Caenorhabditis elegans: one gene and its partners. The protein of the gene in region 4 interacts with the protein of the main gene of each other region in a pairwise test. Each region holds a gene or a part of one and is shown on either strand. Other genes may lie near its edges. The genes, in order: ral-1, cfz-2, mig-22 and C15H9.4.

Evidence for each region.
Region 1: the proteins of C15H9.4 (region 4) and ral-1 interact in a two-hybrid assay, tested with the Caenorhabditis elegans proteins (one large-scale study listed by BioGRID).
Region 2: the proteins of C15H9.4 (region 4) and cfz-2 interact in a two-hybrid assay, tested with the Caenorhabditis elegans proteins (one large-scale study listed by BioGRID).
Region 3: the proteins of C15H9.4 (region 4) and mig-22 interact in a two-hybrid assay, tested with the Caenorhabditis elegans proteins (one large-scale study listed by BioGRID).

The regions. Positions count from the first base shown.
Region 1 is NC_003281.10:3,309,582-3,317,341, reverse strand, and holds the start of ral-1 (small monomeric GTPase), read right to left. Parts: upstream 6,033-7,760; 5' UTR 5,746-6,032; coding exon 5,625-5,745; intron 4,777-5,624; coding exon 4,718-4,776; intron 4,643-4,717; coding exon 4,577-4,642; intron 3,569-4,576; coding exon 3,447-3,568; intron 3,142-3,446; coding exon 3,055-3,141; intron 1,446-3,054; coding exon 1,268-1,445; intron 1-1,267.
Region 2 is NC_003283.11:3,441,001-3,446,612, reverse strand, and holds cfz-2 (Frizzled-2), read left to right. Parts: upstream 1-1,735; 5' UTR 1,736-1,737; coding exon 1,738-1,938; intron 1,939-2,590; coding exon 2,591-3,866; intron 3,867-4,459; coding exon 4,460-4,585; intron 4,586-4,639; coding exon 4,640-4,773; 3' UTR 4,774-5,109; downstream 5,110-5,612. UniProt on the Caenorhabditis elegans protein: Receptor for Wnt proteins.
Region 3 is NC_003281.10:8,762,984-8,769,082, forward strand, and holds mig-22 (Chondroitin sulfate synthase mig-22), read right to left. Parts: upstream 4,353-6,099; 5' UTR 4,292-4,352; intron 4,236-4,291; 5' UTR 4,227-4,235; coding exon 4,008-4,226; intron 3,958-4,007; coding exon 3,658-3,957; intron 3,574-3,657; exon of another isoform or gene 3,541-3,573; intron 3,413-3,540; coding exon 3,326-3,412; intron 3,279-3,325; coding exon 3,166-3,278; intron 3,099-3,165; coding exon 2,393-3,098; intron 2,313-2,392; coding exon 2,160-2,312; intron 1,802-2,159; coding exon 1,092-1,801; intron 1,035-1,091; coding exon 908-1,034; 3' UTR 556-907; downstream 1-555. Other genes in the region: mtss-1 (Single-stranded DNA-binding protein, mitochondrial), read left to right, coding at 5,331-5,423, 5,476-5,540, 5,816-6,099. UniProt on the Caenorhabditis elegans protein: Has both beta-1,3-glucuronic acid and beta-1,4-N-acetylgalactosamine transferase activity. Transfers glucuronic acid (GlcUA) from UDP-GlcUA and N-acetylgalactosamine (GalNAc) from UDP-GalNAc to the non-reducing end of the elongating chondroitin polymer.
Region 4 is NC_003284.9:6,095,840-6,100,671, reverse strand, and holds the start of C15H9.4 (Transmembrane and coiled-coil domains protein 2), read right to left. Parts: upstream 3,030-4,832; 5' UTR 2,960-3,029; intron 1-2,959. Other genes in the region: C15H9.5 (GOST seven transmembrane domain-containing protein), read right to left, coding at 3,734-3,767, 3,824-3,931, 3,996-4,207, 4,687-4,828.

The DNA of each region.
Region 1 (7,760 bases), on a different chromosome or scaffold from region 4:
TTTTAACTGAAAAAAAAAACGATTTTTTTAATGAGAGTTTTTACTGGGAAAAATTGTAAATTCATAATTTTTCACCGGAAAATTGAAATTTTACGATTTTTGGACTAAAAAATTGAAATTTTTTGGACTAAAAATTGAAATTTTATGATTTTTTGAACTAAAAAATTGAAATTTTATAATTTTTTGGACTAAAAATTGAAATTTTAGAGTTTTTAACTGAAAAAAAACGAAATTTTGCGATTTTCCAAACTAAAAATCGATTTTTTTGACTTTACAAAATTGAAATTTTGGGGATTTTTAGATAAAAAAAACTGGAAAATGGCATATTTCGGAAATTTTTAGTGAAAAAAAAACGGAGTAAATTGACTATTTTTGGCTAAAAATTGCACAAAATCCATACAATTTTGAAATTTTTCACAAATTTTCATTAAAAATTCGAATTTTTAATCTAAAAACGACGAATTTTTCACTATTCAACTCAAAATTCCACTATTTTCTCCAATTTTCTCGATTTTTAGCCTAAAAACGTTGGATGTTTCCAATTTTCCGGCTGAAATTCGCCGAATTTTCCAAATTTTCAGCCTAAAATCCTCCCGTACCTTTTTTTTCACAGGAAAAATTAAAATTTTAGTAGGTTTTTAGCTGAAAAATTGAATTTTTTGAGTTTTTAACTGAAAAAATCGAAATTTTTTATATTTTTTTGACTGAAAAATTGAAATTCTCCAAAATGAGCACAATTATTAGCTCAAAATGAATTTTCCGGGCTCAGAAAGTGAAATTTTTAAAATTTTCAGGGAATTTGTCATGAAAGCTCTTAAAATCAGCAAAAAAAATTGTTTTTTAACTAAAAAAAGGCCATTTTTTGATTTTTCATGTGAAAATTAAATATGTTTTTTTTTGTTATTTTTTACACGAAAAGATCGAATTTTTATGAATTTTTTGATGAAAACTTGAAATTTTATGATTGTTTAGATGGAAAAAATCGAATTTCTTGATTTTTCAACTTTAAAGTGGAATTTTATGATTTTTTAACTGAAAAAATCAAAGTTTTAGGATTTTTTAGCTCAAAAATCGCTGAATTTCACAGATTTTCAGCCGAAAACTTATTTCCTGCTGAAAATTGGAGACATTTGTGTCAAAAATTTGAATTTTTCGCTTTTCAGCTCAAAATTCCGCCAATTTTGACTATTTTCTCCAATTTTTCCAATTTTCCGGCTGAAATTCGCCGAATTTTCCAAATTTTCAGCCTAAAATCTCTTCCCAATACCTTATCAACATTTTCACGTCTTTTAGCCGATGTCTCAACATAATGACATCCCCATTGTTCAGCACGTTGTCGACATAATTCAGCTGATACAACACGTTGATCACGCATATCACCCTTATTTCCAACCAATACAATTGGAACTGATGAATCCGAATTTTTGACACGAAGAATTTGTTCGCTGCAAGAAATAACGGGGGTTTTGGGCCTAAATTGTCTAAAAATCGAAGCTTTTCGGCCTAAAATAGGCAAATTTTGGCCGTTTTTAGTGAAAATTTCACAAAATTCGGGTTAAAATTTCCCATTTTTCAAGTTTTTCGGCTTAAAATAGGCAAAATTTGACATTTTTGAGTGAAAATTTCATGAAATTTGGGTGAAAATTGCCCAAAATCGGGGTTTTTCGGCCTAAAATAGGCAAAATTTGAAAGTTTTTAGTGAAAATTTGATGAAATTTGGGTGAAAATGGACCAAAATCCTAGTTTTTTGAACAAAAATAGGCAAATTTTGTAAGTTTTTAATGAAAATTTGGCAAATTTGGGGTGAAAATTGACTAAAATCCGAGTTTTCGGGTCTATAGAGCGTAAAATTTGAAAGTTTTCATGAAAATTGGGTTAAAACCGACCTTTTTAAAAAGTTTTTCGGTCTAAAATAGGCGAATTTTGAGATTTTTGTGTGAAAAAGTGAAATTTTCTTGAAATTTAGAGTTTTTTCAACCGAAAATAGGCAAATTTTGGCCGTTTTTAGTGAAAATTTCACAAAATTCGCGTTAAAATTGACCATTTTTCAAGTTTTTCGGCCTAAGATAGGCTTAATTTGACATTTTTAAGTCGAAATTTTGTAAGTTTAGGCTTAAAATGGACCAAATTACGAGTTTTTTTAAACAAAAATACGCAATTTTGAAAGTTTTGAGGAGAAATTTCATGAAAATTGGGTAAAAATTGACAATTTTTCGAGTTTTTACTAATTTTGAAAGACAAAAATGTGCAAATTTAGACATTTTTAAGCGAAAATTTCGTGAGTTTAGGGTTAAGATGGGCCAAAATCCGAGTTTTTTGACCGAAAATAGGCAAATTTGGACATTTTTGAGTGAAAATTTTACGAAATATGGGTGAAAAATGCCCGAAATCGGGGTTTTTCGGTCTAAAATAGGCAAAAATTGACAGTTTTTAGTCAAAATTTAGTAAATTTAGGGTTAAAATGAACCAAAATTGGAGTTTTTGCCAGAAAATTTCAGAAATTTGCATATTTTCAGTAAAATTCATCGAAAATCTGACATTTTTTTGGCATTTTTTAGCACGAAAAAGTGTTTTATTCAGTTTGGAATCTTTTTTTGCTAAAAACGAGCAAATTTTTACATTTTTATTGAAAATTTCATGGAATTCGGGTTAAAACTGACCAAAAATCAATTTTTTCGCATTTTCAGGACTTTTTTGGTCGAAATTTTGCTATTTTCAACCAAATTCCAGTTAAAAGTGACCAAAATTCGCATTTTTCATTACTTTTTTGCTCGAAAATGGCAAAATTAGCAGAAATTTGGTGTATTTTTCAAATTTTTCGCTTAAAATCGGTCAAAATTAGGAATTTTTAGGTGGAAATTATCGAAAATTGCCCTATTTTCTTGAAATTCCTCCTTTTTTTGTCAAATTTCAGCCAAAAAAAAAAACTGAAAATTCATTAAAAATTATCGATTTTTGTCCAATTTTTCGAGAAAAAACTGAAAATTTCAATGTTTTAGGGTGAAAAAATCAATTTTTCTTCATTTTTCCAGTCAAAATGTCGAAAAAACTTACCGAAACTCGTTTGTAGCCTCAAATGATTCCATATCCAAAATCGAAAAGACACAAATAAATCCCTCACCACTTCGATAGTAATTATCACTGAAAAATTGAAAAAATTGGGGAAAAATCAGTTAAAATTACGATTTTTTGGCTCTTTTCGCGTGAAAAAACAAAAAATTCCTTAAAATTTAGTCTTTGGTGGGAAAAAAAGTTCAAAAACCGGCTCAAAACCTCCGATTTTTCCGGAAAATCCCAAAAAATCGGCTTAAAATGACGACTTTTGCTGAAAATAACGAAAAATAAGCCGATTTTTGGCAATTTTTCTCTAAAATTTGATGAAAAACATCCAAATTTCGTGATTTTTTCGATTTTTCAGCGATTTTTCGCCAATTTCCAGTGCTTACCGAATTGCAGAATAATCTTCTTGTCCAGCCGTATCAAGAATATCAATTGAGCATTCTTCACCGTCTAAAACCACTTTTTTACGATACGAATCCGCTTTTGTTGGCTCATATTCCTCCACAAACTGCAAAAAAAAAGGATAAATTCGGTTTTTAGATTAAAAAATCCGAGAAAATTGGAATTTTTGAGTGAAAATTGTGATTTTTGGGGTTTTTTGACATAAAATTCGGGAAAATCAGAACTTTTCAACGTATTTTTGGTAGAAAAATGAAAAAATTGGGATTTTTTGACATAAAATTCGTGAAAATTGGAATTTTTTGGGGGTTTTTCGACATAAAAAAGGCGAAAATAGGTATTTTTTTAATAAAATTTTTGGAAAATTGGAATTTTTCGGGGGTTTTGGATATGAAAAAGGCAAAATTTTGAATTTTTTGGCATAAAATTCCCAAAAATTGGATTTTTTTTTCATAAAAAACGTGAAAAGTGGAATTTTTGTGATTTTTCGACATAAAATTCGGTAAAATCAGAATTTTTCATAGTTTTTGGGTAGAAAAATGGAAAAATGAAGATTTTTTGGGGTTTTTTGACATAAAACTCGCAAAAAATTGGAATTTTTCAGTGATTTAAAGTAGAAAACGGAAATATCGGAATTTTTTACATTAAATTTGCAAAATTGGGATTTTTTTGCCTTAAAATTCGGGAAAATTGGCATTTTTAGAGCTTTTGAGTGAAAAAAACTCGAAAATCGGATTATTTTTGGATTTTTTGACATAAAATTCGGGGAAAATGGAATTTTTCAGGCTTTCTGACGTAAAATACCCAAAACTCGAATTTTTTTGGGGTTTTTGGCAAAAAATGCACAAAATTCGGCCTAAAAAAGGTACAAATTGAGATTTTTCGACATAAAATTCGGGAACATCGCAAAACTTCGGATTTTTAACATAAAATTTGAGAAAAACGACGTTTTTAGAGTCTTTGCATGCAAATTTGCAAAAATTCCGGGATTTTCGTCTAGATTCTTCGGAAAAATCGGAATTTCCGGTGTTTTCTTCTTGAAACATCGATTTTTAGGTTTTTTTCGGAATTTTTCAGAAAAAATTGTTCTTTTCTCGTTTTTCGCCAAATTCCGCACCTCATCATACATGAACTGCAAAGTGAGAGCCGATTTTCCGACACCTCCGGTTCCGACCATAATAACCTGCAATTTTATTGATTTTTTCAGTTTTTTTGGGAAAAAATTCAATTTTTTCGAATTTTCAGGGCAAAAACTCACTTTATGGACGACTTGTTGTTGCGGCGGCAGTGTTCCGCTTGCTTTTTTCGATGCCATGGCTGAAAATTCGAGTTTTAGGGGGAAAACCCGGGGGAAATCGACGAAAATTGGGGAATTTCTCAATTTTTGGCTAGAAAATATCCGGGAAATTGCAAAATTTAGCGTTAAAAATGGAAATTTATGCAAATTTTCAGATTCTCAACAACAAAAACCACCAAAAAACCGGTTTTCCCGCAGAAAATTCATCAAAAAATGACCAAAAACCACCGTAACCCTCCATTCTGAAAGTTGTGTACTCTGCGAACACCGAATTTTACGACAGTTGAGGGGTACGGTAGAAAGCAGGATTTTGCAGGTTTTAAGTAGATTTTAAAGTGAAAATTGTCAGTTTTAAGCTAAAAAATTGTGAAAATCAGTTGAATATATTGATTTTCATGTGAAAAATGCAAGAAAAATTGAGATTTCCTTTTAAAAATGACTGAAAATCTTGAAAACACCAGATCTTACGCGCAAACTTTTTTTCTTTTTATTTTTCACAGGGTTTTTACATATTTTTATTAAAAATCTGCTCAAAAACTGAATTTTTCTGTAATTTTTATAGGGATTACATAAAAAATAAATGATTTCCTTCTTAAAATAAAAAAAAACAGAAAAAATGCCGAAAATTTAAAAACTCGAAATTTCGGTTAAAAATTTAAAAAATTTTCAAAATTTCTACCGGAAACTTATTTATATCAATGAAAACTGCTCTAAACCCCATTTTCCCTCAAATTTCTGCTAAAAAATTCAAATTCCCGCCGCCCAGCGCCAATTTCTCATTAGAGCGCGTTTGCCTCAAATTTCCTCACTTTTTCCTGGATTTCTGCCATTTAAACCAACTTTTCACCACGGAAAAACAAAATATTACCTTCCGGATCATAAAACTCGGGTTCATCACTCTTCCGGCGGAATAAAAAGTGCCAAAGAGCCAAGAATTTAAGCTTTATCCAGTTCCACCCATTTCGGAGCACATGGGACACCTTATCCATTTTTTTTAACGAGAAAATATAAAATTTTCCACTATAGGAAAATTACGGGGGATTTCTCGAGGTTTTTCAGGAAAAAGAATAAAAAATTTCGCAAAAAAAAATGTTGCGAAATTTTCGGATTTTCGGGTCGGAAGAAGGTGTCCAATAGCAACCAGAAGAGCGTATGTGCCTAGTGCCTCATTTTCTATTCACACGCTGACGGGAAAAGTGAGGGTGAGAAATAGTGTAGAAAACCGTGGAGACGCAGACTTTTTGACTGTTTTGGTGAGGCACCGCCTCGCTCTCCCGGCTACACAATTATGCATAATAAGACAAAAAGGCGGAAAAGGCAGAGACGCAGAACAATATGAAATGTTATTTGTTTTAGTACTGTCTGCCGGTGATAGAGGAGGGGATTTTAACAAAAAAACTGTGAAAAAAGTATCGAAATTTTTGAAAAAATCGATAATTTTTCTTGCAAATATCGATTTTTTCCAGGTTTTTTTGAATTTGCCCTACTGAGAGCTTCAAAATGACCCCCATATCGGCTGGTTTACTCGAAAATTCAAAATTTTGCGGTAAACGCGCCCTACCGCACACCGGGGAGGTGGGAACTTGAGTTTATCGATTTTTTAAAGTCGATTATCGATTTTTTCTAATTTGTTCTGGTTTTTATCGAATTCCCCTCACTGTAAGCTGCAAAATAACCCTGATATCGGCTGAATAACTCGAAAATTTGAAATTTTGCGTAAAACGCGCCCTACCGCACACTTGGTCGGCGGGAATTTGAATTTCAACGCGGTTTAACGAGTTTTCAATTTTTTTTCTGATTTTTCCGGTCAAATTGCGGTAGATTTACTTGAAAATTAAACATTTAGTGGAAAACGCGCCCTACCGCACACCAGCGACAATGAAAATGTGCTCTATCGCTAAACGGCGCGGAGGCCCGCGGGAATTTGAATTTTTGAGTGACAATTGAATAAAAAACGATTTTTCCAAGTTTCTCATTGTTTTTCCTGGATTTTGGCCTCAATTAATTCAAATTTTCAAAAAAAAAATTCAAAAATTACCAAAAAAACCTGCTATTTTTTGCTCAAAATGTCGTTTTTTCCCATAAAATAATTTTTTTTTTTCATCACGAAAAGTGTTCCCAAAACATTTTCCAAATAAATTCTATTTTTATTGTTCTTCTCCAGAAAAGAAAAGACCTTGGCATAGTAAAAGGACTCCAATTATCGGAGGAAAATGAGGGTCAAGACTCTTTTTTTCTTATTATAACTTGGTAGTTTTGATGAATTAGGCAGTTTAAGGGAGTAATAAATTAGAAGAAACTTTTTTTTTTGGGAAAAAATTTTTGAAATTTCGAAAAAAAAATTCAAAAAAAAGTTTTTTTTGAACTTCTTTTCAAACTTTTTTTCGGAATTTTTTTTTCAAATAATTTGTTTTTAAAAATTTTCTGCTCAAATTCATACTCAGCTCACCGAGTCCTTCAAAATAACACCCATTTTGGCGGGTTTTTTTCAACGTTTGAAAAACCAAATTGAAAGTGCGCCCCACCGCCGCACTGTTGGCTGGCGGGAATTTAAAATTACTTTTTAAATTCGGGGATTTTCCTGCTTTTAACATTTAAAATGCCGCAAAACTACATTTTTTCAATAAAATGACAGAAAAAATTTGGAATTGTTGCAAACGCGCTCTATAGCCAATTTGCTCGGCGGAGCGCGGGAATTTGAATTTTCCAAAATATTTCAATGATTTTTCGGTGTTATAAGCTATTATGTTGTGAAAAATGATAAACAACAGTGAAAATTAAAAGAAAATATCGATGTTTCGTTAAAAATCGGATAACTGCGGTGAAAACGCGCTCTACCGCTAATAAGGGCGGCACGGGCGGATTGTTTGGCGGGAATTTGAATTTTATTGTGGAAATTATGAGTTTTAGACTATTTTTCTTGATGAAAGTAGATTTTCAGCAAATTTTCCGAATTTTTTAAAGGAAAAGTTTGAAATTTTCGAAAATCTTGGAAAATCGATAA
Region 2 (5,612 bases), on a different chromosome or scaffold from region 4:
AACAAATTATACTTTCGAAAACTTGTTTTTGTATCGGAAAAATTCTAAATTTTTGTATAATTTATCAGTACATTTTTAATTTTTAATCAACTTTTCGTAGAGTCGGAACTTTTTTTCTAGTAGTTTTCAGGATTTGCGATTTTAAAATTAAAATTATTTGAAGGTTGTCTAACATGACCAAACATCAGTAAAAACACTACAAAAAATATAGATTTTTGAAAGATTCCAGTCAGTTTTCGTAAATTGCCAAATTTTTAAAAAATGTGTACCTTTTGGGAAATTTCCACAATTAATAAAAAAAACAATTAAAATATAAAAATTGAAGAAAAATATGCAATTTGTTCCAATTATTTCAGTGCATTAAGAAATTCCAAAAAAATTTTTTAAAAGCTTTTACTGTAATTTTTGGTCATTTTAAAAACACATGCCAATACTCTTTAAAATTTTTTTAAAAAAATAATTTCCGGTCGCATGTTCCGACCCCTACAATGTTTTAATACAAACAAATAAAACAAAATTAAAGTATGAAAATGTAGGGCAAAAAATTTATTTTGATCGATTTCCAAAATTATGAGTTTTTGCCTATTGAGTAATTGTCATTTTTTGCCAGTAAATAAAAAATTTTCAAAAAGTTTTTGAAACGTTTTATCTTAATATTCGGCTATTTTGGCACCAAGTCAGTAGTTTTAACACTTTCCCTACTGGCGCTACTCCACCTATAATAATTTCAGCCCTATCCACATCTCTAACCCATCCTCCATTCCACCTGTTGTTGCTCACAGTGGGGGTCACCTCCTCCTTTTAGCACCTTCCAAAATTTTCCAACTCCTTGCCAGCCACCACTTTGCCCTCCCCTATTTGCACACTCTTCTCTCCTCCCCCTTTCCATCTCCCCCAGCTCATTCATATATATGTACATAACTTCAGTAGTTGTTGGTTGGAGGTGGTAGAGTCAAAACATATCTCCTCTTTCTAGGCTCTTCTTATGCAACCTGACACCCCTTGAATTCCATTCGTGTTCCGTTTGAGACCCCTATGCTTGCACAACTAGGTTACATACCCCAGCACGTAACAAAATTCTCGTATCCTGAGCCTTATTTATTTCTCATTTTCATAAATTTGTATATTCTTTTTTCAGATTTCATCCCAGATCTAAATATAGAGAATTTAGCTAAAAACATATCTAATTTGATAAAGACCTTTCCGATATATCTTGGTTGGATATATTTTTCGAGTGCCTGCAAACACTCTCTCCACATATCCTCCACTATTTCCCGCAAAAAAATCGTTTCCCCTTACTGGTTTTTTGATGCTTTTGATGCTCTGTATGATGAAAAAGTGCTCTTTGGGTATCTCTCTCTCTCTTATATTTTTGATACCGATCCGATAGCTGATCACTGGATGTTAGGTCAAAGCTCTTGTGTGTATTGTGTCATGATAGTAGTAGTACTCGGTAAATAGTGATAAGCGATCACAGTTTTGCTACGTGGATATTGATTTTTTTGTGTTTTAACGGATCATTTTCTCTAAGAACTCCCGTAACTTGACACCGATCCTCCCTCCTCAGGAGGAAGCGCATCCTTTGTACTTTTCCTGTCTTCTTATTCTCCTCCACCTTCAGCTACTTAAATCTCAAATTTCATTTATCTTTTTTTTTGTTTTTCTTTTTGTTCTTTCCTTTTTCTTTATACCTTTTCTAATATCTTTAACTTCAAAATTAACATTTTATTTCTAGATATGCTACTCCGGATCAGCGTGCTGTTCCTATTGCTTGGCTCCTGTGGGGCTCTTTTTGGAAAACGTCAAAAATGTGAGCAAATCACAATTCCTCTATGCAAAGGTATTGGCTACAATATGACATCGTTCCCGAATAGTTATGGACATGAAAAACAGGAAGAAGCCGGATTGGAAGTTCATCAATTTTATCCGCTGGTGGAGGTGAGTTTTTTAAACAATTTTCTATGAGGAAATATTTTTTGCAATAATGAAAAAAACAAAAATTGAATATTGCACCACAAATTGAGAAATTTTGAATTTCGCGCTAAAAATTCGAAAGACACCAAATTTAGAATTTGCGCTAAATTGAAAAAAAAATTAACTTGGCGCTAAAATTTTCGAAAAAAAAATCCGAATATGAATTTCGCGCTGAAAATTTAAATTTTTCAGAATGAGTTTTGCGCCAAATTTTTGAAAAAACTCAACCCTAAATTTTAAATAAAATTGAAATTTTTATATCACACCAAAAATTTAAAAAAATCTGAATTTGAAATTTCCGCCAAAAATTTAAAAATTAAAATTTTAATTTGGCGCTAAAATTTAAACAAGATTATAAATTTAAATTTGTTATATACTAAAAAAATGTGAACCTTAATTTAGTGCCAAAGTTGTTGAAAAAAAATTAGATTTAAATTTTGAGCTAAATTAAATAAAATCCAAATTTAAATTTCGCGCTCAAAATTTGCAAAAACGCAAAATTGAATTAGGCTCTAAATTACGACAAATTCACAATTTTTTTCGCAAAAATCAAGAAAAAAGTAAATTTGAAAAACTTACCTTCTTCCAAAAATCAAAAAAAAATTTATATTTCCAGGTCGGTTGTTTCCAACATCTCAAATTCTTCCTCTGCACAATGTACACCCCGATCTGCCAGGAAAACTACGACAAACCAATTCTCCCGTGCATGGAACTTTGTGTGGAGGCACGCAGCAAGTGCAGTCCAATAATGGCCAAGTACGGATTCAGATGGCCCGAGACACTGTCTTGCGAGGCGCTGCCAAAGATGTCGGATCAGATGTCGACTGGGAACATCTGTGCAGCTCCACCAGATACACCAAAGAAGCAGCACAAGGGGCATCATCATAAGAATCAGAACCAGAATCAAAATCAAAATCATAACTATAGTCCAGATGGCCCAGAAGTCGGAATTTCCAAGATCGACAATGAAGTAATAGCCGGTCCCAGCGAGTGTCAGTGCACTTGTAACCAACCGTTCCAGTTTGTGGCATCTGAAAAGTCCAAAGTTGGAAATGTAACAAATTGCGCCTACTCATGCCATTCCCCAGCGTTGGCCGAGAGTCATAGCCTGGTGAGCAACTGGATGGCGTTCTGGAGCATCACATGCTGCGTGCTAGCCTCCTTCACATTCCTCACATTCCTTATCGAGACCGATCGATTCCAATACCCCGAACGTCCGATCTTCATGTTGGCATTCTGTCAGCTCATGGTTGCCGTCGGATTCATGATTCGATATTTCGTGGGCCACGAGGAGATCGCATGCGACTCGATGAGGATTAAGGGGGCTGATGATAACTCTGGATCCTTGTGCTTCGTCGTTTTCCTGCTCACCTATTTCTTCGGAATGGCTGCCTCGGTTTGGTGGGTGATCCTTTCGCTAACCTGGGTGCTGTCGGCCGCTTCAAAGTGGTCCCCCGAAGCGATTTCCTCGTTCTCATTCCATTTCCACGTGGTCGGATGGTGCCTTCCCGCTATTCAAACTGTATTGGTAATAGTTTTTAATGCGATCGATGGTGATCCGATAACTGGAATCTGCTACGTGGGAAATACTGATCTACAATTCCAACGAATCTTTGTGCTTTTCCCATTGCTCGTATATTTCATCGTTGGAGTTTTGTTCTTGGTAATCGGATTCTGCAATTTGTGGAGTATCAGAAACGAAGTACAAAAGCAACATCCTTCACTGGAGAGTGCCCATAAAATCACGCAGTTGATGAGCAAAATCGGGATTTTCTCATTGCTCTACACAATTCCATCGTTATTGATTATCTGTGTTCTATTCTACGAGCAGAATCATCGATCATTATGGGAGCAATCGCAGTTGTGCTCATGCTCGCCAAAGCAAACTATCGGTGAGTTTTTTTTTAAACTATAACAATTTTTGATCTAAATTTCCCAGTAAACATTTTTTTCACATTAAAAAATTTCAGTTGCTCGCTAAAATTGTTTTTAGAAAATTAAAAAACGAGTTTTCTAAAAATTTTCCCAAAAATTTGTTTAATTCCACCAAACATTTTTTCTCAAAAATTCAAATTTTCCGCAAACATTTTTTTAAAAATTTGATTTTACCGCCAATATTTTATTTCGAAAAAATTGAATTTACCGCCAAAAATATTCTCTGAAATTTAGAATTTCATGATAAAAATTATTCAAAAAGTTTAATTTTTCCGCAAAATTTTGCCTCAAAAATTGTGAATTTCTTTCCACATTTCCTTTTCAAAAATTCGAACTTCCAGCTAAAATTTTTCTCAGAAAAAAATTTAAATTTACTGTCAAAAAGTTTCTCAGAAAATTTGAATTTCCGCCAAATTTTTTTCCTCAAAAAATGTTAAATTAGTGTCAATAATTTTTTTTCAAAAATTTTAAATTTCTCGCCAAATTTTTTTTCTGAAATTTGAACCCCCCCCCCCCCCCCTATTATTCTTCATAAATTTTAAATTTTCAGGCGACTCCTCACTGATCATCTCCCTTATCAAAACTTGCTGTATGTGCATTTTGGGATGGACGTCCGGATTTTGGGTGTGCAGCACCAAAACTCTATCGTCGTGGAAAAATGCTATTTGCTGTTTGGGTAAGTTGAATCTAGCTTGAGTTTAAACAAGTTTTATTAATTTAATAATTTTAGGTTCCTCCCGATCTTTACCCAAATACCAACCGGCAGACATACTTTACGCTAAATCTGACATGTCATCCTCACAATTCTACAACACAAGTCTCCGACACAACCATCTTTACGGAGGCATTCCTGACAAGCTGTAGTGCTCAAGAAATGCATATTTAATATTTGTGATCCCCGCACATCTACCTCTTCAGGACCAACTTTCCACAATACTTGTAGTCGTTAAAATTAGTTTTTTCTCATGAGCTTTTACCTCTTCTTTCTCACCATCATCATCCCATTGATCTCAAGTTCCCGGCATTCTTTCTCAGTTTTTTTAAAAGAAAAGTTTTTGCAAATAATTTTAATATCACAAATTTAATAACTAAAAACAATGTTTTTGTAATCTTATTAGAGTGTTGTTTTTTGAATACTGCCTGTTCCTCTTGTCGAGCTTTCGGAATGTACATACCTAATAAATATTATTTTAATTGATGATTTTTTTGTTGAAAACATTTACGGTATATTAGAAGATTATTTCATGAATATTGTCAGTCAAGACACTTGTGTTCGATTGAAATTCACTTTAAATGGCAGAAAAACGACCGTCATGACCGAATAAACTGTTAAAAAGTTTTTAACATTTTTTTTGAATTTTGCCTATATCAAAATGTGGCCAAACTGAATTTAAATTCCCACGCAAATGAGTGACGTCATTTTTTATATTTTCGCGTTTTCTGGCTAAAATCATGATTTTTCTGGATTTTTTGTTCTAAATTTAATACATGTTTGTAAATTTTCAGACACTTTTCCAAAGAAAAAACATACAAATCATTTACTATATATAAAGCGCGTGTCCTTCTGTCCCTATGTAGTTTGATCTTTGATCTTTGGTCTTTGAACTCTGTAGTCTGTAGTTGGAAGAGGTATTGGGTTGGAAGTTGGTGATGGATAATGTCAAGGTACTGTAGTGGTACTGTAGGAGTACTGTAGGTATACG
Region 3 (6,099 bases), on a different chromosome or scaffold from region 4:
AAAATATATACGAAATCGTAGGAAATGCAAAGAACGATGATTGTAAGAGAAGGACAGGAGAGCAAAATGGTTTTCTTATCATTCCAGAGGTTTTTTCTCACTTTTACAGTGCATATTATGCACGTTGTCGTTCTGCGGGCAGAAATGAACATAGAAAATTAAAAAAAAACATAATAAATTGAAGAGTTAAACTTAAAATGGAGAATTTCCGAAAAGAAAAATCGATTTCGAAAACATCTTTACCGTAGTTTCCATCAAAGACGCAATCTACATCTTGGGCGCGCGGGTCTCACCACGTCTTTTAAAAATTACCGTATCCACCTCAAATTTTCAAATAATAATTATAATTCCGTTCTTTCAAAGGAAAATTTGAGATTTTAATGCGAAATGTCCTTAAAAAGAAAAAAAAAGAAAATGTAGTAAAATATTAAGTTTTGCGACAATTTAAAAAAGAATAGCCCAACTTCCTTTTAAACAAAATATTTTGTTTTAAAATCATGTTGCAAGGCCTGCGAAATTTGATTTTTTTTGACAAGCACTGTTCTTCAAGAAAATCAAAACAAAAATTTATGATTAAAAATCACAGATATTCATAAATTATAGAAAAAGTGGACGGGTCGAGATAGTATGTACTTTGTTTAGTGAATTAAAAAATGTGGCACAATTTAACATAAACTGTAAAAAATGAATTATTTGACGACGGGGATAAAGCATCGGGTTGTGGCAAGCGGGCTAAAAATTATTTAATGAAAAACCGCCGGGATTATCGTATTCACATGAAAAGAAAATGTTATGCTCGGAGCAAGAGGGCAAAGTGAAAATTGTAGTGCAATAGGAAGGTGAGAAAGGGAAAATAGGAAACCGTATTTGCAGAAATATCATGGACAAGTTGGGAGTAGAAGGGTGTTCATTTTTCGTGGAATAACAATTTTGCCAACTGATCCTTCGCCGCCACGTTTTCCTTTTTACTGTCCAGGCAACGAGCGATATCTTCGGTGTCGATGCTTTCCATGTCACAGCTTCTTTTGTGATATCTGTAAGTAATTCATTAATTAATAACACTGGAACAACACAAAATTTGGCGATCTTACCGAATTCGGAGAGTTGGCTCAACAGCCCTAAGTACATGTATAGAATCTTGTCCCAAGAACGCAGAAATCAAGTCGTTCCGTCTCTCATTTTGACCGAATTTAGCTCTTGCTGTCACATAATCCACACCATAAACGGCGAAACAAGAGAAATCTTGAGAATCAAATCGTCCATGTTCTTTTTGTACAATCAATGTTCTTTTCCTTTTTGGTTCAACTCCATCTCTTAATCGTGATAAAGCAGCTTCACGAGCTTGTTCTGTCGGCGTCTCTTTTTCTTCTTTTTCTGTCATTTCCATTCCAGAGATTGTCGGATGATATTCAACAAATGGAACTGGGAAGAAAACTTGATAATGTTTAATCGTATTGATACGAGCTCGATCAAAGAACTCTTTTTGAACATCTGCATGTGGAGAAAGTAGAAGATAGATTGTATTGGCTCCGTATCGATCCACAGCATCATCCAACGCAGCAGCAGCAGCTGTTCCCTTTCCTTCTGTACTAACAGCAGGATGTACTGGAAGAACATCTGTTTCCAAAAGTGATCGCTTGCATCGTCGCTTTAATTCTTCCATATCATTAGTGATAGCAGTCACTGAACGAGATTCGATTAATGGGAAAACGGCTACAACCATTCGAGTTTTACGGGCTTCTTCTGTGGGGAAGAGACAGAGGCGAGCTTGTCTGGCAAGAAGTTTCCGGGCTGGGAGAACCTACAATATATACATATTTTCAATTTGTTTATATCAAAACAATTAAAAATGGGAACCAATTTTTTTTTGAAAAACCTTTAGAAAAACACTTTTTGTATGTTCAACAATATATAAGTTCTAATCAAAGATGTTGATTTTCGATTTTACACTAAAATATTTCGAAAATAGCTTTAAATTTTGGATATTTTTTAAAAATAATAAAAGTATATTTTTCTCATGATTTTTCTATCAACATAAACAATTTTTTTTAAAATTGAGTTTTTGTTAAAACATTTTTTTTATTTTTGAAAAATCGAAATTTTATAAACATTTTTCGACAATCCCTTCTCTTTGTGGTTTTCAATTTTATAAAACTAACGTCTTTTTCACTAGCAACTGGAATAACGACAGTGACATCTGTGTCTTCTTTCACATATGGTGCCTGGTTCATAAGCTGCGTACTTGCAATCATTCGACTAACGTGCACTCTTCTTTCCACAACAATCTCTTTGAGACTTTCCTCATGTGCAGCCTGAGATTGTAAACAAATTTATAAACTTTCAGAAAATCTGTTTCAGATTTAGATTTAGATATTCTAGAACTTTTATTTACCTCATTATCACTTTCAAATCGATTATCAACTTCAGGCATTTCATTGACAGTCTTTCGATATGTCAAATCAACCATATAATCCATTCCTCTCCGTGGATCAAAAACTCGATATCCATTTCTCAATTGAACAAATTCAAGCTCTGGTTCTTCTGATTCAACTTGCTGCCGAGCAGCCACCACAACTTCAGCAACATCATCGAAATCTTTTCCTTCAAGACGTCGAACATTTTGATTAGGTTCACTTCGAAAGAGTTCAGTCATCGTAAAGTACTCCCAAGTCGAAACTTGATACCGATTTGGTGGTTTTGCATACGGTGGAAGTGCTGGTGGCCAGCTGATAGCTTCTCCTGTTTCACGAGCTTCTTGCTCAGCCAGACGAGAAAGTTCAGCTTCCATTTTGATAATTTCTCGATCAGCTCTTTGCATTTCAACTCGAACGAAATAATCATGAAGTGCAGATGCATCTGCATCAGAAAGTAATCTTGGCACAGCAAGAGCTCTCTTAAATGCTGGTGAATGTTTCCAGTCCTCAATCGAGTCATGAGCAGCTGGCGAATCAGCTCTCTCGGCTCCTCGCCAAACTTCATAACGAACTCCTTGATGAAGCGGCTTACATGTCAAATTTGTTGCGATTTGAATGCACTTTTCAAATGCGAGTTGATCGTCATCGGCTGCCAGTGCGAAATTGTTGCAAGCATTCCGATTGCTGAAAATATTCAGTTTAAAACACTTTTCAGTTTATCATAATGTGAAAATTTTGATTTAAAGCTTACTTCATCAGAGCATGCATTGCTGGCTGACTGAGCAACATTCCAGTATCCAATCGGCATCGTCCACTTCCATCTTCAGCTGCTTCACCCATCACAACTGGTTCATTCCAATTCATCTGACAATTAACAACTATTTTACAAAAACAATTACTGGATAAAATACCGTATCAATCATTCTGAGCAAAACGAATGGGTTGATATACGTCGAATCTTTGGCAAGTAGAAACCAGTCATAGTTGTTGTGGACTGTCTGAAAACATTTTATTTTTAATCAGGAAATGCAACTCCGACAGGAAGAAGCCAAAAAGAACAATTGAGATACTCTGAACAGGGGAATTTTTACACCAAAATCGACTTTACAACATGGGGTAAACTTACTGAAAAACATTCAATTGACAATTATAATTGATTCTGAAATAGTTTTATGACTTTTTTTTTTGAAATACGAGTAGTTGACAACTACATAAAAAAACATTTTTGAACAACTCAACTAACCATATTGAAAAGGAGACCCAAAACCATCGAATGCGTCTTTTGTCCGTTTAGTTTATATGGACTCAAATTGGTTAACTGGGCCAAGTCATTGTCGATTCTTGAAGAGTCAGCAAACAAATGTACACGTGGAACATGGCGCCCAAGAGTTGCATTAATAGAAAGAGCCAATGCAGACTCAGCCATCACTGCGGCCATAACTCGTTCACGTGTACCGAGTTCAGTGGCTGCAAATCGAGTTCTTGTAACCTTTGGAGTAGCGTCTTGATTATGAGGAGGCGCTGGCATATCGTCTTGGTGAACCTAAATTTGATTCTTTCATGAAATTTTGTGTTTTTTTTAAAGCTACTCACAATCCAATGCTCAGATAAATCTTTATATACTCGCCCTTTCTCCAGTGCCGATGGTTCAAGAACATTCGTTTCTGTTTCTTGATTCTGACATGATGTAAATGCAGCCAATGAGCTGGTCAAGTCTATACTTGGTGTGGATGAAAAGAAGAAGAGCGCGAGAGCGGCACCTATAAGGAATCCAAGAAGCAAGTGTATGCCTGTTCGACCGCCGCCGACCATTCTTCGATTCTAAAAAAGGAATAGAGAATTATTAAACTTTTTTTCAAAGCCGGTGAAAAACGTACCAAACAGTCAGCAATACGCCTTGATACAATTCCAATAACGAAGTTTTCTTGTGAAGAAGCTCTGAAAATTTACAATAAGAAAGTGAAGTGAACAAGAGCAAATAGTGATGTTTGAGCATGAATGAGCAGAACACAGGTTAACTGATCAAAGAAAAGCGTGAAAAGACAATACGGGTTTATGAATGAATGCAAAACAGTCGTCATAGAAGATGTGTGTGACAATGCTCGTAAAATGATTGCAGGACATGTGAGTGGAGCGACAACCTTCTTCGGTATGCGATGCAGACGGAAGACAAAAAAAACGAGAAGAGGCTGTGATCGACGCCGACGTTGTAAGAAGGTGTTTGAAGAGATAGTCTTGAGTTGAAAGAGACGCAGACATTATGTTCTGTACTTGACCTGACTAACTAAGGTCATTTTAGAAAATTTAATGTTCGAGGACAGTGAAACCGTTAATAACATGCTATTTTGAGAATGTTTTTCTAATTTCTTAATTTTCAAGATTTTATCTCAATTTTAATTGAATTAGGAAATTAAGTTCGAAATATGACAGATAATTCGTGGGAATAATTAAAATAACATATACATTGGAATTATGAATATCTTTTTAGTAGTTTTAGAATGAACATCTAATAACAATCAAATATAGGAAAATCCGAAATAAGATTTTGAATTTAACGGAATTTTGATAAATTTTATTGGTTTGAATCAATAAAATTGTAGAAATAAAGTGGTTTTTTGCAGTGAAACTTAAAAAATAAAAATAAACCGATGACAAGAGAAAAGCGAGAGAAACACTGAGTAAACTGTGCGGCGTGTTTGCGGAAATCGCGTGCCAGGCTTGCAACAGTGCGCGATTCAACTCCGCCCACAAAAAATGCAATTTTATTTTTGCTTTTCCATATTTAACAGTTGTTTTGAGCCCGTTTTTATTTGTAAAATGTATATACTATGTTTAAATCTTTTCGTTGAACATTTAATATTGAATTTTTAAAAATAACTCATATTTTGCTCAATCGATAAACCAAAATTATAGAAAATGCTTCGTTCACTTTCCACGATCTCCAAGTCTACCGTCCGCTGTATGTCATTGACATCCAAAATGGCTGCTGAGCAACCGAGCAAGCAAGAGGTAAGTTGAAAAACAGCGAATTGTGCAATTATGAAATTTTTGTCTGTTTCAGGTTGATGACTTGTTCGCTGAAAAACCACAACATCATAACCCAGAACAAAGACGGCATGCATACAGGTATGATATGAGTTTTACACAAATGTTAAACTTGCATTTTTCTGAACTAGGAGATTAATAATTTGTATCAAAGTTCCTGCTAGAAAAAATAAAATGTCACAATTTTCAAAAGCACAAACGCAACGATTGACAATAAAAATTACTTATTAAAAAGTCGTTCGAATATTGTTGTAAAATAGCTGTGAAAGATACAATTTCAATTTTGAAAGCATAAAAAAACAAATTTTGAATTCAGATCATATCGATTCAAAATTTATTTATTATCACTATTTCAGTGTGAATAAAGTGGAACTAGTCGGAGGAGTCGCCTTGGATCCATTGTACAAGACTGGAAGGAACGGAAAACCTTACCTCATCTTCAATATCATCACCAACTCGTACTTCAAGCAGCAAGACGGAACTACTCTCGATCAAACTGAACGTCACGCCGTTTCAGTTTTCGGAAAGCAAGCCGAAATCCTTTCAAAAACCATCAAGAAAGGATCCCGTCTTATGGTTCAGGGGAGACTTCATTATTCTGGAGGACAGAAGGACGAACAAGGAAACCGTACACAACGCA
Region 4 (4,832 bases):
AGGAATTTAATGAGAAACATGTCAAATGATTTAAAATATAAACGTAAATTATAACCACCAACTAAATAGTTTTCTAACAATTGGTCATTTCAAAGTGGCTGAGTCACTGTATCACGAGGTGTGAGTGGAACTTTTTTTCTGAACATTTTGAAAATAAAAGAATGTATGTCTCATCCGACGCCATTATATTAATTTTTCATCGATTGAAAAATGTGGAAATGGGGAAAAATGGTTAAACATGTAGAATGCACTCTGGAACTTTGTGCTATTACAAAATTTAAACAAAAATGTTGAGATCGAAATATTTCAGCTTGAAAAAGTCTGAAGAGGCGGGAAATCAATTTCACGTATTTTGTTTGGACTGTAAAGACGCTCTATTATTAGTTTTAGACGGTTTGTTATACTTTTTAACATTAAAACTAAAACTTGAAAGAAATTTAGAAAAAGTATGCAAAACAAATAAGGACTTGCTTTTATTTTTTTTTTGAAATTCCTATTCATTTTTGCTATGACCTAAAATATTTATATAGTTACATGATTTATAATATATGATGACCAAATATGATAATAGAACTTATCAAAAAACTTTGGACAAAATCTTATTTCGAGTCAGAAGCGGTAAAAAGTTATAATCTCTACAATGCGGAAATTATTGAATATAAGTATTTTGAATATAATCAAAGCACAAAACTGGATGAAAAAATATTTTTGAAAAAATAAAAATAGAAAAAATATATAAATACTGAGTTTTCACAGCTTTTTTACTCAAAATAAAAAACATTTTCAAAATTTTTTTAAAGTTTTATTATGATATTTGGTTATTTTATAAAAAATATATTAAATTCATTTGCTACAAAAAATGTTTTTTGGAAAAAAAACATACAAAATTTGTTCAGCAAGAATTTGCGCGGGTATTCAAATTTTGAGAAAAAAATCCGGTTAATTATTTGCACTTATTACGACAAAGTTTAAAACCCAGTAGTTCATTCTCCAGTAAATTTTCAATTCACATCACTATTTCGTAAAGGGAGCTGTGAACGTAATTAATCGACTTTTTGAAACATTAAATTGGCAAATAAAAGGAATATAGTTATGTTTGCCCAAAAGAAATCAAAATAACAAATTGAGGGCACAACTAAACGTAGAAACGTTGAAGAGTATGTCAACACTTGTGGGGTAGCCTCCTCCCGAACGCGGGGGTCTAATGCGGCGCAACCGTAAAAAGTATTGAGATACACATCAACCCGAAAGGTTAGAGGTGGTAAAAATGGTCAAAAGAACAATGGTGACAAAAAGCGAGTTGACGAGAGGGGAGATATATAGGCAACCTGCTCATCTGTGAAAAAAACGATTGAAATGTTTTTCAAGGTCTTTGCACTCACACCTCACTCAAACGCGCCAAACATAATTCATGACGACGATCTATGAAGCGAAAAAGCAAAAAAAAAAGAAAATGCCTTTTGCAGTTTTTGTTCTTCTCGACAACTTTGAACTACACAGAGCAAGCAGCGGGAGAAGTGCAAGTATTCCAAAAGTATGTAAAAGCCATCCATCTATGGGGCAAGGGTTGAAAGATGAGGGAAGAAAGAAGCGGGGGGCAAGAAGACGCTTTGGTGGTGAAATAGGGGCGTCGATGTCAATCAAACCACTTTGGAAGATTGACTAAAACACTCTTTTCTTAGTCAACAGGAAATGGAAAAGAAATCGAGCGCCGCGTTTTGATTTTGCCTAGTTTCGGAAAAACACAGAAAACTGCAGGAACGCGGAAAATCAAGATCGAGGCGCGCGAAAAAACGGCTAGGCGACGAAGAGAGGATTGGCCGGACGCGAACGGACACACACACTCATTTGTACGCAAACTGTGGTCGTAATAGGTGGCAAGGTTTCAAGCTCTGAATTCTTTTTTGCAGGTACGGAAGTGGTGAACAAAAACATAAAATAGAGCAAAACTATTTCCTATTGTCCACCTTACTGTCTTATATGTAGTCAATGGAAAATTGAAAAAGCACATAAATGTCAATATACAGGGGGAGACGTTTCTCTTATCATTGCACCGTTGACCATCATAGTCGGAAATGGAGTTGTTATCAAAGGGTAAAGTTCCACTTTTTTGAGTTGATTAAAACTGGTTAATGTTTGATTAATTATGAGAACATTCTAGTGCGGTAAAACGTTTTTTCAATGAAGATCTCCCCCTATCGGATTGCAGTTCAAAATCAAAGTTTTTACATCAAGAAAAATAAAAAAGTGTGAAAATTCTATTCTACAGTTTGTAAAACAGTAATCCACACGGCCAAAAACGGCCAAAACAATGAGAGGCATATAGGAGAGGAAAAAATGTTTTTGCCTTCTAACTGAGCATTGTGATGTCTGGTGAATCAGACAGAGAAAAAGAACACAGTAAACAAGTTTCCGCGCTTCAATTAGCTCTTTTGAGATATTTTCACGCGAAAAATCAATATAAATTGATATACATCAAGTGAATGTTGAAATTGAACCATAAATCATATTGTTTTTAATAATTTAAAAATAATCATTTTGTGATTAAATTAAAAAGAAAACACTTTTCTTGCAATTTGAGGGAAACGACAGATAAAAGAGAAAAAACCATGATGATAATTAGAAAAGGAGTATAAAGAAGGAAATTATTATTTCAACATAAAAACTTTTGGAAAACTATTTTGCGCAATTAACCCAATAATAATAGCATTAATAACAAAACAAAAATGCATATAAAACCATACAAACTCGAAAAAAAATCGATAACAGCTAAGATGGATTATAAAAAGAGCAAATTGGCTCGTAAAACTAATAATCGAGCGGTATTGGCTATTGCGGTGCACAGAAAATGGCCGGATTCCGGGTGGTCGGCAGACAATGGCTAATACGCGCAGTACGCAAACACGCGCACGCAATAATGCGTACCCCCTTTCGCCATGCTTGTTCACCCCTCTCTTACCACTAGTCCTTTTAACTCGGACAGCTGTCCAATGCGGCGATCCCTCATTAGAGTTGGTTTGTCGTTCTGAATTGCATGAAATATTGTATAGATGTTGTAATATGAGGTTATATCAATGTTACAAAGGATTTTAAGTAAGGAAAAAAATCTTCTTTTCATTAATGAATTATAAGATATTGAATTCACTAGATGACCATAGAGCACACAAAGACACAGAAGGTTCAGAAAATAGTACACAATAGAATGAAAAATAATTAACAATATTTTTTTACAGGGAGTCTCGAGTTATCACATCACACGACTGGAAATTTATTGGACTAAATGTTACAACTAAAAAAGATTAGAGATGGGGAAAAGGAGGCGGAGACTAGAATTTATACACTTTGGCCAGTGTACTTTCACCTATATGTTTGAAAAAATTTAGTTCATACATCTTGAAGTTTTTAGATAATGATGATAATATTTTCTAAGGAATGATTGATATTGCAATGGAATTTGAAATTGTTTTTATCATATTTCAAAATCAGTTTCAATTTTCATCATTATCTTAAAATAGTTATATACACATTATCATGCATCTAGAAAGGACCGGTAGAAATGTTATTTGAAAAGCAAAATGTTTGAAAATAGTGAGTAGAACGCGATAGAAGTCTGGATGATCATCCTGTCCATAATAGTATTATAATCGAAACAGTTGGTTGGTTGAGTTGATAAGCCTCCCTCCGTTTGCACTGAACTCGTTGTTGTTTTTGTTGTTGTTGTAACGGATTATAATTAATCTAGCAATGATTGTTCGTAGGTTTGAGAACTGAACAAATACAGATTATTATTGAATGTTATGTATTAATACTGAAAGCCACTCACGGTTTCTTCAAAAGTTTCTGATGGGGATAGTCGGTTTGGTTGTTTGATGATTCATCTGAAACCAATCTCCTCGACACATTGGCATCTGAGTAGGCTTTTGTCAGGAATCTGCAAGATTTTCTCAACTCAAGGTTTTGATTTTTTCACAAAGATGATAAAACGAATGACTCACTGCTCATCAATTTCTTGCTCATTGTTTTCTTTATCTTTCCTATCTTCTTTCGGCGATGTCTCCACATCATAGCTATCAAAATCCGAGTTCAAGAGCAGATAATTGTGTGAATTGGCAGGCCGGAATTTGTAGCCAACGATGATGAAAAATGCGAAGGTAACCATTTCGACTGCAGCGACAATGGTCCATTGGAGGTTCACAGGCATTAAGTGCTGAACGGGAATAATTATGCACACATATGTATGATTAAAATTAGAGTAGGAGCCGGTGACGATATTGTTAGAACACGCTCCTAGGTTACCAAAAAGACCGAATATCATAGTAAATCTTTTACAAATGTTGAATTCATAGTCAAAAAGTGACATTTACTGAGATTTTGCCATTTTTTTTGGCACTGTCCCAATCTATACTTACATTGTTTAAAAACCGATGTTTGAAACATACGTAGACTATAAAATCCAAAGGTAGTTTTTTTTTTTGACCGACCACTTCAATGAAGTAGTAAAACCTGAGTAATTACCAGTTTTTGAAACGAAATATCAAAAATTTAAAAAAATTGTATAAAGTTGTACTGTGATATTTGGAATTTTGGCACCACAAAAGTGGGGTTTCAACACTTTTCCCACTGGCGCTGGCTTGAAGCTAAGAATTTTTTTTGTACATGTTTAATTGTTATAATTCTAAAACTCACGAGTAATATGAAGCCAAAAAACCTCGTGCAGTAGATGTAGACGACAACGAGAATATAAAATTGTCGAAATAAACGTAGTTTTTCCAAATTGGCTGCGGCTTTTCCATCTGTAGTGGCTCCCTCTACCAAGTGTTGAATTGACCTAA